Xenopus tropicalis: one gene and its partners. The protein of the gene in region 1 purifies or fractionates together with the protein of each later gene. This does not show direct contact. Links are inferred from orthologs where the notes say so. Each region holds a gene or a part of one and is shown on either strand. Other genes may lie near its edges.

Region 1 (3,661 bases):
CAGTGCAAATTTTCCATCTAATACAATGAAGCACTATTTCTGGCAGTCACGCAAATTTTCCAGACAGGAAAATGTTAATAAATGTGATAAAAAATTAACATTCTGTGAATTTATTCGTATTCCTCTGTTCATTTGATATTCAGTGATTTGAAATATGATATCTCAGAGAGAATAACTTGTAACTGTATTATTTGTTGTTCATAAAATAAGAAAGTTGGTCAAGTGGCTAAATACTGTTCAAATGCACAGCACCTGTTCCCTTAAGTTTTTGTGGGGTCTTTAACTTCTAGGTATATCTCTGTAAATAGGACTCTAAAATTGTTATACTAGCTTAAACACGATATGTGATAGAACTGGCAACATACCTCCAGCTCATTTTCATCAAATATTTTTATCAGGTCTTGCGGGATCAGTTCAAAGAAACCCTTAAAATGAATGAAATCATATTAAAAAAGAAAATAAATTACCTATATTCCTAATTTGTCAAACCTAATAAAATGAATTTTCCCTCTGCTGCACCTTGTTGTGCCTATCACTGTAAATGTACTGAAATTATTCCACAATAAACATATTTAAGGTTAAGACTCCTAGGCCGTTCAGAGAAAATTATACTTTTGCGTTGAACTGACAGTGACCCTGTTAAACATAGGAACCCATTGAGCATAACTTAAGTGCCCCAGTGATAGCTCTTTGTACCACCCCCCTGCACACTAGGCTGTTATTTTTTTTATTATCTTATTTGCCTTCCAGGTCTCCCAAATGGAGAGAAACAGAGGGATGTGCAGCTCCAGCAACTGGACAGTATGAATGCCAGAGGTTATTACACAAACAACACTGTAATTTTATTGGTGATACTGATATTCTTATTTATTGCAATTTTTATCCATATCAGTATCCTGCAGCCCGCTAACAGGTTCTGGTCACTGCCACATATGTTTGAATACATTGTAATAAGTGACTAGGTGAAGGCAAACCATCACACCTAGATACAGTACAAAGATCACACATTAAACATAATTTGAACATTATTTACCTCTTTGAATGCAGCCATCTGTTTTTGAACTCTGTTCATAAACCTCCACTGAATAACAAGACTGCATAAAAGAAACAGCAGGAATTTACTTCCAGAACAAAAATAACTTATTCTAATGCTGAATATGAACCTTACTGTTCGGCAAATATAAATAGGCAGAATGTAAATGTATTTGAGTTGAGCACCCACGTAGCAGCAGTTTGGGTTTAAAGCTTGCTAGTTTATTACTGTTAATACTGTTATCAATAAATGGTTCTAAAACTGCATTGCTTGGCATAGTGCACTCAATACTGCCCTGTATTTATAAAATAAAAGTTTAGTCCCAACATAAATTTTACTTACCGCAGCTATGGGCTGCTCGGAGCTAACGCAATAAACAAAAATATGCAGATACATAAGGTACCCTATGTAGAATATCTCATCTTAAGGGTTATAAATAATTTAACTCACATATAATAATAGGGATAAAAGTAGGGATGAACTGGGTTTATAATGGGGTCAAATATAGAGTCTGCCACAAAAAAAAAACACTAAGCACTGAACCTAATCCTGATTTGCTTATTTAAATTTGAGCAGAAAAGCAAATTATGTCATCTGGAAAAACTTAACCACCTTCATTTGGCCACTGTACAATCTGCCCTGCTGGCAGGTAAAGCGTTAAAGGCAAAGAAAACTTGAGTGGAAGATATTACATAGTTATCTAAGAAATTCTTCAAAAGCAACAAACCAAAATTGGAACACATGCATTGAGTGCTTCTCCTATTAAAGCCAACAGGGAAATGACAAGAAGTATTTCCTATACATCATACTATGCAATGCACACTTACTGTATGTACTCTTTTTTGTTCTTGTTTGTGACTAAGATTTGTGAACCACCAGCCTTCAACTCATGTTGATGTGTCTATCAAAAAGTTACAAATTCAACATCAATAATCTCTACAAGCCTACTACATGTTAACACATTTATAACTCATTGTAGAGATATATTTATAAGAAATATGGCTTTTCCCCCACCTGTCCAAAAAGTTCCTCATCAACAGTGAAGCACAGATCTAAACCTGAAGGATCATTTTCTAGTATCCACTGGAGGGAATTGTAATATTCACTGTCCTGATAAATAGATAATAAAAGTGCAGTTTAGACAAAAGGCAAGAATCATGCCAGTTGCAGATCCAACATACTTACAATAAGGGGGCATTTATTAACATTCAGATTTTAGAGATTTTATGACTAAAACACATTTTCACAAGCACTACTTTTTCGAACTGTCATACAAAAGCCAGTGTCAAAAAGACCCATAAAAACCTCTAAAACCACGAATCAAAGATCTTCCAGTTGTAAAAGGGACATCTGATCTTGACAGGTTTTAGATGGCTTATTTTTGCTTTCAGGTTTGTCGTGATTTGTCACATAATAGATAGCGGAAAAAAATGTGTTCTTTTTTCTCCACAACAAAATTGTATCTTGGTGTCAAAAAACCTGAACCAAAAAAACTGGGTGGTAGTAAATGTCCCCTTAAAGGAGAAGCAAAGTAAGGTATCTTACTTCCTCTCTCAGAAAAATCCTTAATTGCCTTGGGCAGAGTCTGCGCAGTTCTCTCCTTTCTCCCCTCTCCTGTCCCCCCTCCCTTAGGAATGGGTGATGTGAGCTAGACTGCAAACAGGAAGCTGTTTAAAATGGCAGCTGCTGTCTTAAGCAAACAAAGAAAGCTTCTAGGGCTCTTTACTCAGGTATGGCAATGCTTCCTGCAGAATAAATATATTGTTCTAGGTGGCACTAATGTGGCAAATTGGCTGTAAAATGCCAAAATGACTTTCCTTCTCCTTTAAGTGTGTGACAATCATAACATATCCTTTATGCCAGCAGCAGTCCCTTGGTTATAATATATAAACTAAAAACTCTTTCAGTAAACTACCCAACTTACATCTTCTCTACTATTATTGCTAGCATAGGCTTAACAAAGATCATACCGACGATGAGTGGTACAAGCCAGGTTATCGGGATTCAGCTAAATCTGAGTTCTGAAAAATCCTAGATTATGTGCATCCCTAACTGTTATTGTTGAACCTGAAAATTAAGGTTCCTGAATGCCTTTAAGGATTGGCTTGAAAAATCCAGCTTTTGGTGTTGCCTAAAATATATACTTGCTCAGTCCTCTCTGCACTTGAAGTACTGATTTGTTCCTATTTTCATATACAACTTCCTCAAATTTCATATTTTCGAATTTCATATTTATTTACTACATATTGTGTGCAGCTTGAAAAAGCAAAATTTTATAAAAAAAAGAATCTGTCATTTTACTCAAAATATCTGTCTTTCCAGCTATTCAACTCTCAATGTTTTTCTCTATATAAATATATATATATATATATATATATATATGTGTGTGTGTGTGTGTGAAAACTAAAGAAACAGTAGAAACATACATCAGTATAATTAACAAATAGGGCAAATAAAACATACCACAGACTCCATGTCATACAATATAATTGGTTTTTGGAGCATCATTTTGTAAAATGGGCGAATAAAAAATGCTGTAAAAGAAAATAAAATTGATATATTTATTAGTATAACCACACAGTCCTTTCTGTATAAACATTTACAACTATACAAGTCTAGATACAGTAT
Region 2 (2,741 bases), on another chromosome or scaffold:
TACATCATCTGCTTGCCCCTAGATCTAGCCTTGACAACAATTTTTCATAGAATAATTATTTGCATTAAAAATATGCATGATTTTAGACATCCTTTTGCAGTGTTAAAGTGGTGATGTTTAGTGTATTTCAATGCCATTTTTTACATACCTTTCATAAATATGCCCTTTTGTGTTTTGGGCTGGAAAAAGGAAAAAAAATCTAATTTACTTGCAGACTAAAAGCCCATGGTTTAAATGGTTTCCATTCATGCATATTTTTGTACACGATTCAGATCATGAATGAAAGCCATTTGAGCTGTGCATATTTGAATTAATTAAGGCCTCTGAATAGCAGAACTGAATGCATTTGTAAGACTGCTGTAACACCTTCTGTCATGCCATACAATCACACCTCCTCTCCCAATACAGCACCCCTAAATCATAGCCTCTTACTGTAACTGCTCCTATATTTTTATGGGAGACTTCCAGTAAGAAACCTCACCTAATTTATAATAAACATCACAAGAGAAACAACCCAGTATTAGAAAGTGACATTTTATTTCACTGAATTTGAAAAAACAGATTGCCCTTTTTTGTATCTGTATAAAATTTATAGATATCTTTCTATGGCAATATTCACGTTGACTCTTTGTGCACTGGGAATAAACACTATTAAGAGGGTTATTCACTATTTTGTATACAAGATGGGCAGAGTTTCTTATACAGGAAGAAGTTACAACAAAAGAGTTTGCACAAAAGGTAATCTCATAAACTAAAAATAAATCCACAGAATTTGAATACTTTACACTGCAAACATAGCAGGGTAGATATCAATTGTTAATTTTGCATTCATATTTCTCTTTCTGAATTTTACTTTTGGGTGATTGATCTACACTCTCTACTCAGTGGGAAAGAATTACAAAAGGCAGCATTCCATGGCTAATCATCCAAACTGTATTATAGCTGATAAAATGGTTATTTGCCTTTTGCTAAATTCATCAGTGAATTCACAAGGCAGTCATTTCATCCATAACAGGTCTACATAAAAGTAGGTTGGGAATGCAGAATAAAAAAGCAAGTACTTCTGAACTTCGGCAAGGACCTGTGGGAGGGTTCAAAGGTTTTGTGACCTTATTTTTAATTGAAGTGAAGTTAGCAAGGTATGACAGCACTAGAGTCTCACTAAGCAAAACTGTTGTAAGTGCCATATCTCATGATTCTTTATTCAAGTATTTGACTTGTGGTCCCTTATTTTATAGTACATATGGCATAGCTCTTAACTTTCCCACATGTCAGTGACATTATTCTCTACTGTATTTACCACCATCTAGTATATCTAGTATTAAGGCCAATCAAAAACATATAGATTTAGTACATCTATAGCATCTAGCGTATAGTTTTCCCAATTATTTTGTTGAATAGGGATCTGGGGCAAAAAGCAATGGGAATACCCAAAAGGCTTGCAATTGACTACTTTTCAACTGCTTCAAAAGCTAGGCCTAGTGTCTCTCAGTCATATGATTTATTTATCTTGAATTTATGAACCTTGTAGTTTTTTCTTGCCAGGTACATACAATGTTATTCTTTGCAATTCAGTTGAAATTTTATATTTTTTTTAATATATAAGGAGAATTCTTGATTAGAATGGTTTAAAGTTGGGTTTTTGGGGCTCTGTACAAAGCTGAAGTAAATTGAAGAGTAAATTGAAAGTGTGAGTTCAGCAACAAATTTGGCCCATGTGTAACTCACATACACATAATTCACATAAGCATTTTGGCATATAAAAATAGTTCAACCACTTTTAGTCTCAGTCTAAATACAATGCCAAAACTACTAACTTCACAATTAGTATATTTATCTTTGTGTCCTCCATGTTTCCTAGGTGTGTGTAGGCCTAACAAGTGTGATAAGTGTACGTATATATATATATTCCCTTAATGAATTTATAGGGAAGACATGAATATTCCATTGCTCTTTTCTCTTTGCACGTTGGTCTGCTTATTGTCTGTCTTCTTCCATCCTAGCAAAGGGTGGGGCCAGTATCTGACACGGACTGCTTGTTTGGCTCTGTGGCAGACTTAAGAACGGGGAATTTAATGGCTTGTGATCTGACTGCTTCCTCATAAGAGGGCAAAACTCCCTGTAACAAAAAGAGATAAAATTGTGGGTACATAGAGAAGTGAAAATTAGAAAGTTACAACACAATAAGCAAAGTAAATTGGTCGGTATTTATAGTTCAACCACCAAGTCTAGAGTTGTTATCAACATGTGCTCCATTACATAGCCTATGATGAAGTGCATTATAGCAGGAAATGCAATAATGTAATAATATATATACGTTTTTACTTTATTGAAAAGTCATAGTTGGATTTCCCTGTAGGGGGCCAGACACCCAAAATTTCAACTGGTGAGTTTGTATCAATTGAACTTTCATGGTAAAACTTATCTGATGGACAACTGGTGACATCTAGTGATGTCGCAGAGACAAAAAAGTTAGCAAAAAAAAAAAAAAAACGCCTATTGACTTTAATGCATTTGGAGTGAGAAAAACCACCCACTGACTTGAAAAAAGTTGCTCGTAAAAAATGTCACCCACATAAATGATTTGTTGTGCTTAAAAAAAGTCGCCTATTGACTTCCATGCGCTTTTGCAAATTTTTTCAGGGAAGCAAAACGGGAAAGATTCACTCATCACTAGTGACATCACTGCAAGAAACAATCTGCAGATTTTTATTCTAAAGATTGGAGCAGTTGGATCTGTC
Region 3 (3,661 bases), on another chromosome or scaffold:
CTGTCATTCAAATGACTGCTTGGTTACTAGAGCATAATGGTTCCTAGAAAAATAAATGAGCACATTTTAAACATGAAAAGAATAAAAAATAAAGACCAAATAAAGATTGTCTTTGAATATTATTGCCTACATATTAATATGTATTTCATGGGGGGCTATCCCCTTTAAGGTAAACCACAGAATCTCTGGTGGGGGGGGGGGGGCAGGCTGGGGCTCTGAAGATTAGGTTACAGCAAAGATGAGACAATACAGACAATATGAACCGAAGCAGCTCTGAACAAACAGGTAGTACAGGAATAAGATTTGCTCCTGGGGTTAATTCCCAACTCTGCCCTAAGGGCCTTACCCATTAATGTGTGTCTATTCATATGTTTATATTATACCTTTCCTGTACGTGCGTAGATCCTGGTGTGGGGCTTCTCCACATTCTTCATTCACATATTTTATATATGACTAACTATTATGGGTTTTGCTATGTGTTTTATTATTTTTCAGCTATTGCAATTATATGATCATTCTGTGACACACATATAGGCTGGTATCTTAATATATTAACTTTACCCAACAACATCCCACTCATACCAGCACAGAAACATATACAGCTTTGCACCTTGCATAAATCCTGTAAATGTGTCTCCTACCCTCTCTATCCCCCCAGCTTGCTATGTCCAATAACCCTCTCTATCCCCCCAGCTTGCTATGTCCCATAACCCTCTCTATCCCCCCAGCTTGCTATGTCCCATAACCCTCTCTATCCCCCCAACTTGCTATGTCCCATAAGACTCTCTATCCCCCCAGCTTGCTATGTCCAATAACCCTCTCTATCCCCCCAGCTTGCTATGTCCCATAACCCTCTCTATCCCCCCAGCTTGCTATGTCCCATAACCCTCTCTATCCCCCCAACTTGCTATGTCCCATAAGACTCTCTATCCCCCCAACTTGCTATGTCCCATAAGACTCTCTATCCCCCCAACTTGCTATGTCCCATAACCCTCTCTATCCCCCCAACTTGCTATGTCCCATAACCCTCTCTATCCCCCCAGCTTGCTATGTCCCATAACCCTCTCTATCCCCCCAACTTGCTATGTCCCATAAGACTCTCTATCCCCCCAACTTGCTATGTCCCATAAGACTCTCTATCCCCCCAACTTGCTATGTCCCATAACCCTCTCTATCCCCCCAACTTGCTATGTCCCATAACCCTCTCTATCCCCCCAGCTTGCTATGTCCCATAACCCTCTCTATCCCCCCAACTTGCTATGTCCCATAAGACTCTCTATCCCCCCAACTTGCTATGTCCCATAACCCTCTCTATCCCCCCAACTTGCTATGTCCCATAACCCTCTCTATCCCCCCAACTTGCTATGTCCCTTAACCCTCTCTATCCCCCCAACTTGCTATGTCCCATAACCCTCTCTATGCCCCCAGCTTGCTATGTCCCATAAGACTCTCTATCCCCCCAACTTGCTATGTCCCATAAGACTCTCTATCCCCCAACTTGCTATGTCCAATAACCCTCCCTATCCCCCCAGCTTGCTATGTCCCATAACCCTCTCTATCCCCCCAGCTTGCTATGTCCCATAACCCTCTCTATCCCCCCAGCTTGCTATGTCCCATAACCCTCTCTATCCCCCCAGCTTGCTATGTCCCATAACCCTCTCTATCCCCCCAGCTTGCTATGTCCCATAACCCTCTCTATCCCCCCAGCTTGCTATGTCCCATAAGACTCTCTATACCCCCAACTTGCTATGTCCCATAAGACTCTCTATACCCCCAGCTTGCTATGTCCCATAAGACTCTCTATCCCCCCAACTTGCTATGTCCCATAAGACTCTCTATACCCCCAACTTGCTATGTCCCATAAGACTCTCTATCCCCCCAGCTTGCTATGTCCCATAAGACTCTCTATCCCCCCAGCTTGCTATGTCCCATAAGACTCTCTATCCCCCCAGCTTGCTATGTCCCATAAGACTCTCTATCCCCCCAGCTTGCTATGTCCCATAAGACTCTCTATCCCCCCAACTTGCTATGTCCCATAAGACTCTCTATCCCCCCAACTTGCTATGTCCCATAAGACTCTCTATCCCCCCAACTTGCTATGTCCAATAACCCTCTCTATGCCCCCAGCTTGCTATGTCCCATAAGACTCTCTATCCCCCCAACTTGCTATGTCCCATAACACTCTCTATCCCCCCAACTTGCTATGTCCCATAAGACTCTCTATGCCCCCAGCTTGCTATGTCCCATAAGACTCTCTATCCCCCCAACTTGCTATGTCCAATAACCCTCTCTATGCCCCCAGCTTGCTATGTCCCATAAGACTCTCTATCCCCCCAACTTGCTATGTCCCATAAGACTCTCTATCCCCCCAACTTGCTATGTCCCATAACCCTCTCTATGCCCCCAGCTTGCTATGTCCCATAAGACTCTCTATCCCCCCAACTTGCTATGTCCCATAAGACTCTCTATCCCCCCAACCTGCTATGTCCAATAACCCTCTCTATCCCCCCAACTTGCTATGTCCCATAACACTCTCTATCCCCCCAACTTGCTATGTCCCATAAGACTCTCTATCCCCCCAACCTGCTATGTCCAATAACCCTCTCTATCCCCCCAACTTGCTATGTCCCATAACACTCTCTATCCCCCCAACTTGCTATGTCCCATAAGACTCTCTATCCCCCCAACCTGCTATGTCCAATAACCCTCTCTATCCCCCCAACTTGCTATGTCGCCCCCCCCACAATATTGCTGCCTATTTTGCAGCACTGGCACAGACTCACCGGCCACTCTCTCTGAAGTATAGTAGTTGCCAATGACTTCATACTGAATATCGACTGTTGGCACGGTATCGGGGTGGGTTACTTTCACTGTGAGGAGGATTCCCATCAGCAGGTTCACAACCTAGGTTAAAAAAAAAAAAAGTTAATGACAGTTCCATCCCAGAGGTTCGGTTCATAGCAGAAATGTAATATTTTGAAGCAGTGCTGGTTTATTGATATGTACAATCAGGCTGCATAGTACACAATAATTCATTTCAGACATTTGTTGCCATATTGGCAGCTGGTACCCTGCCTCATACCCCTCTCTCTGTGTTCCCTAGAGCCCGCACCACCATTTGTATATATGCCACAGACTAGATGGCCCAAGCAACAAAAGATAAACAAAAAAACCCAAAACTTATTTTTCAATGAAAAGCCATGGGAAGAGAACCATTATAGGCCAAAAGTGACAAGGGGAAAGTTATGGACGAGTTACTGCCTGCTCTGCTCTCATTTCCCTACAGAAATAGGGGTTGGTAGTACTAGGTAGGTACCTAATATATAGGGGCAGAGACAGGGGAAAGTTATGGAAGGGTTACTGCCTGCTCTGCTCTCATTTCCCTACAGAAATAGGGGTTGGTAGCACTAGGTAGGTACCTAATATATAGGGACAGAGACAGGGGAAAGTGTTGGAAGGGTTACTGCCTGCCCTGCTCTCATTTCCCTACAGAAATAGGGGTTGGTAGCACTAGGTAGGTACCTAATATATAGGGGCAGAGACAGGGGAAAGTCTTGGAAGGGTTACTGCCTGCCCTGCTCTCATTTCCCTACAGAAATAGGGGTTGGTAGCACTAGGTAGGTACCAAATATATAGGGGCAAAGACAGGGGAAAGTCTTGG

What was found.
Region 2: the proteins of nedd4 (region 1) and laptm5 purify together in Homo sapiens (affinity purification with western blotting; 3 studies listed by BioGRID and IntAct, with this or other methods). This does not show direct contact. The link is inferred for Xenopus tropicalis from reciprocal best matches to the Homo sapiens genes NEDD4 and LAPTM5.
Region 3: the proteins of nedd4 (region 1) and laptm4a purify together in Homo sapiens (affinity purification with western blotting; 3 studies listed by BioGRID). This does not show direct contact. The link is inferred for Xenopus tropicalis from reciprocal best matches to the Homo sapiens genes NEDD4 and LAPTM4A.

What each region holds. Positions count from the first base shown.
Region 1 is NC_030679.2:100,490,802-100,494,462, reverse strand, and holds part of nedd4 (E3 ubiquitin-protein ligase NEDD4), read right to left. Parts: intron 3,568-3,661; coding exon 3,497-3,567; intron 2,144-3,496; coding exon 2,048-2,143; intron 1,935-2,047; coding exon 1,861-1,934; intron 1,095-1,860; coding exon 1,034-1,094; intron 426-1,033; coding exon 366-425; intron 1-365. UniProt on the Homo sapiens protein: E3 ubiquitin-protein ligase which accepts ubiquitin from an E2 ubiquitin-conjugating enzyme in the form of a thioester and then directly transfers the ubiquitin to targeted substrates. Specifically ubiquitinates 'Lys-63' in target proteins.
Region 2 is NC_030678.2:83,118,952-83,121,692, reverse strand, and holds the end of laptm5 (lysosomal-associated transmembrane protein 5), read right to left. Parts: intron 2,120-2,741; coding exon 2,000-2,119; 3' UTR 518-1,999; downstream 1-517. UniProt on the Homo sapiens protein: May have a special functional role during embryogenesis and in adult hematopoietic cells.
Region 3 is NC_030681.2:143,074,947-143,078,607, forward strand, and holds part of laptm4a (lysosomal-associated transmembrane protein 4A), read right to left. Parts: intron 2,905-3,661; coding exon 2,784-2,904; intron 1-2,783. UniProt on the Homo sapiens protein: May function in the transport of nucleosides and/or nucleoside derivatives between the cytosol and the lumen of an intracellular membrane-bound compartment.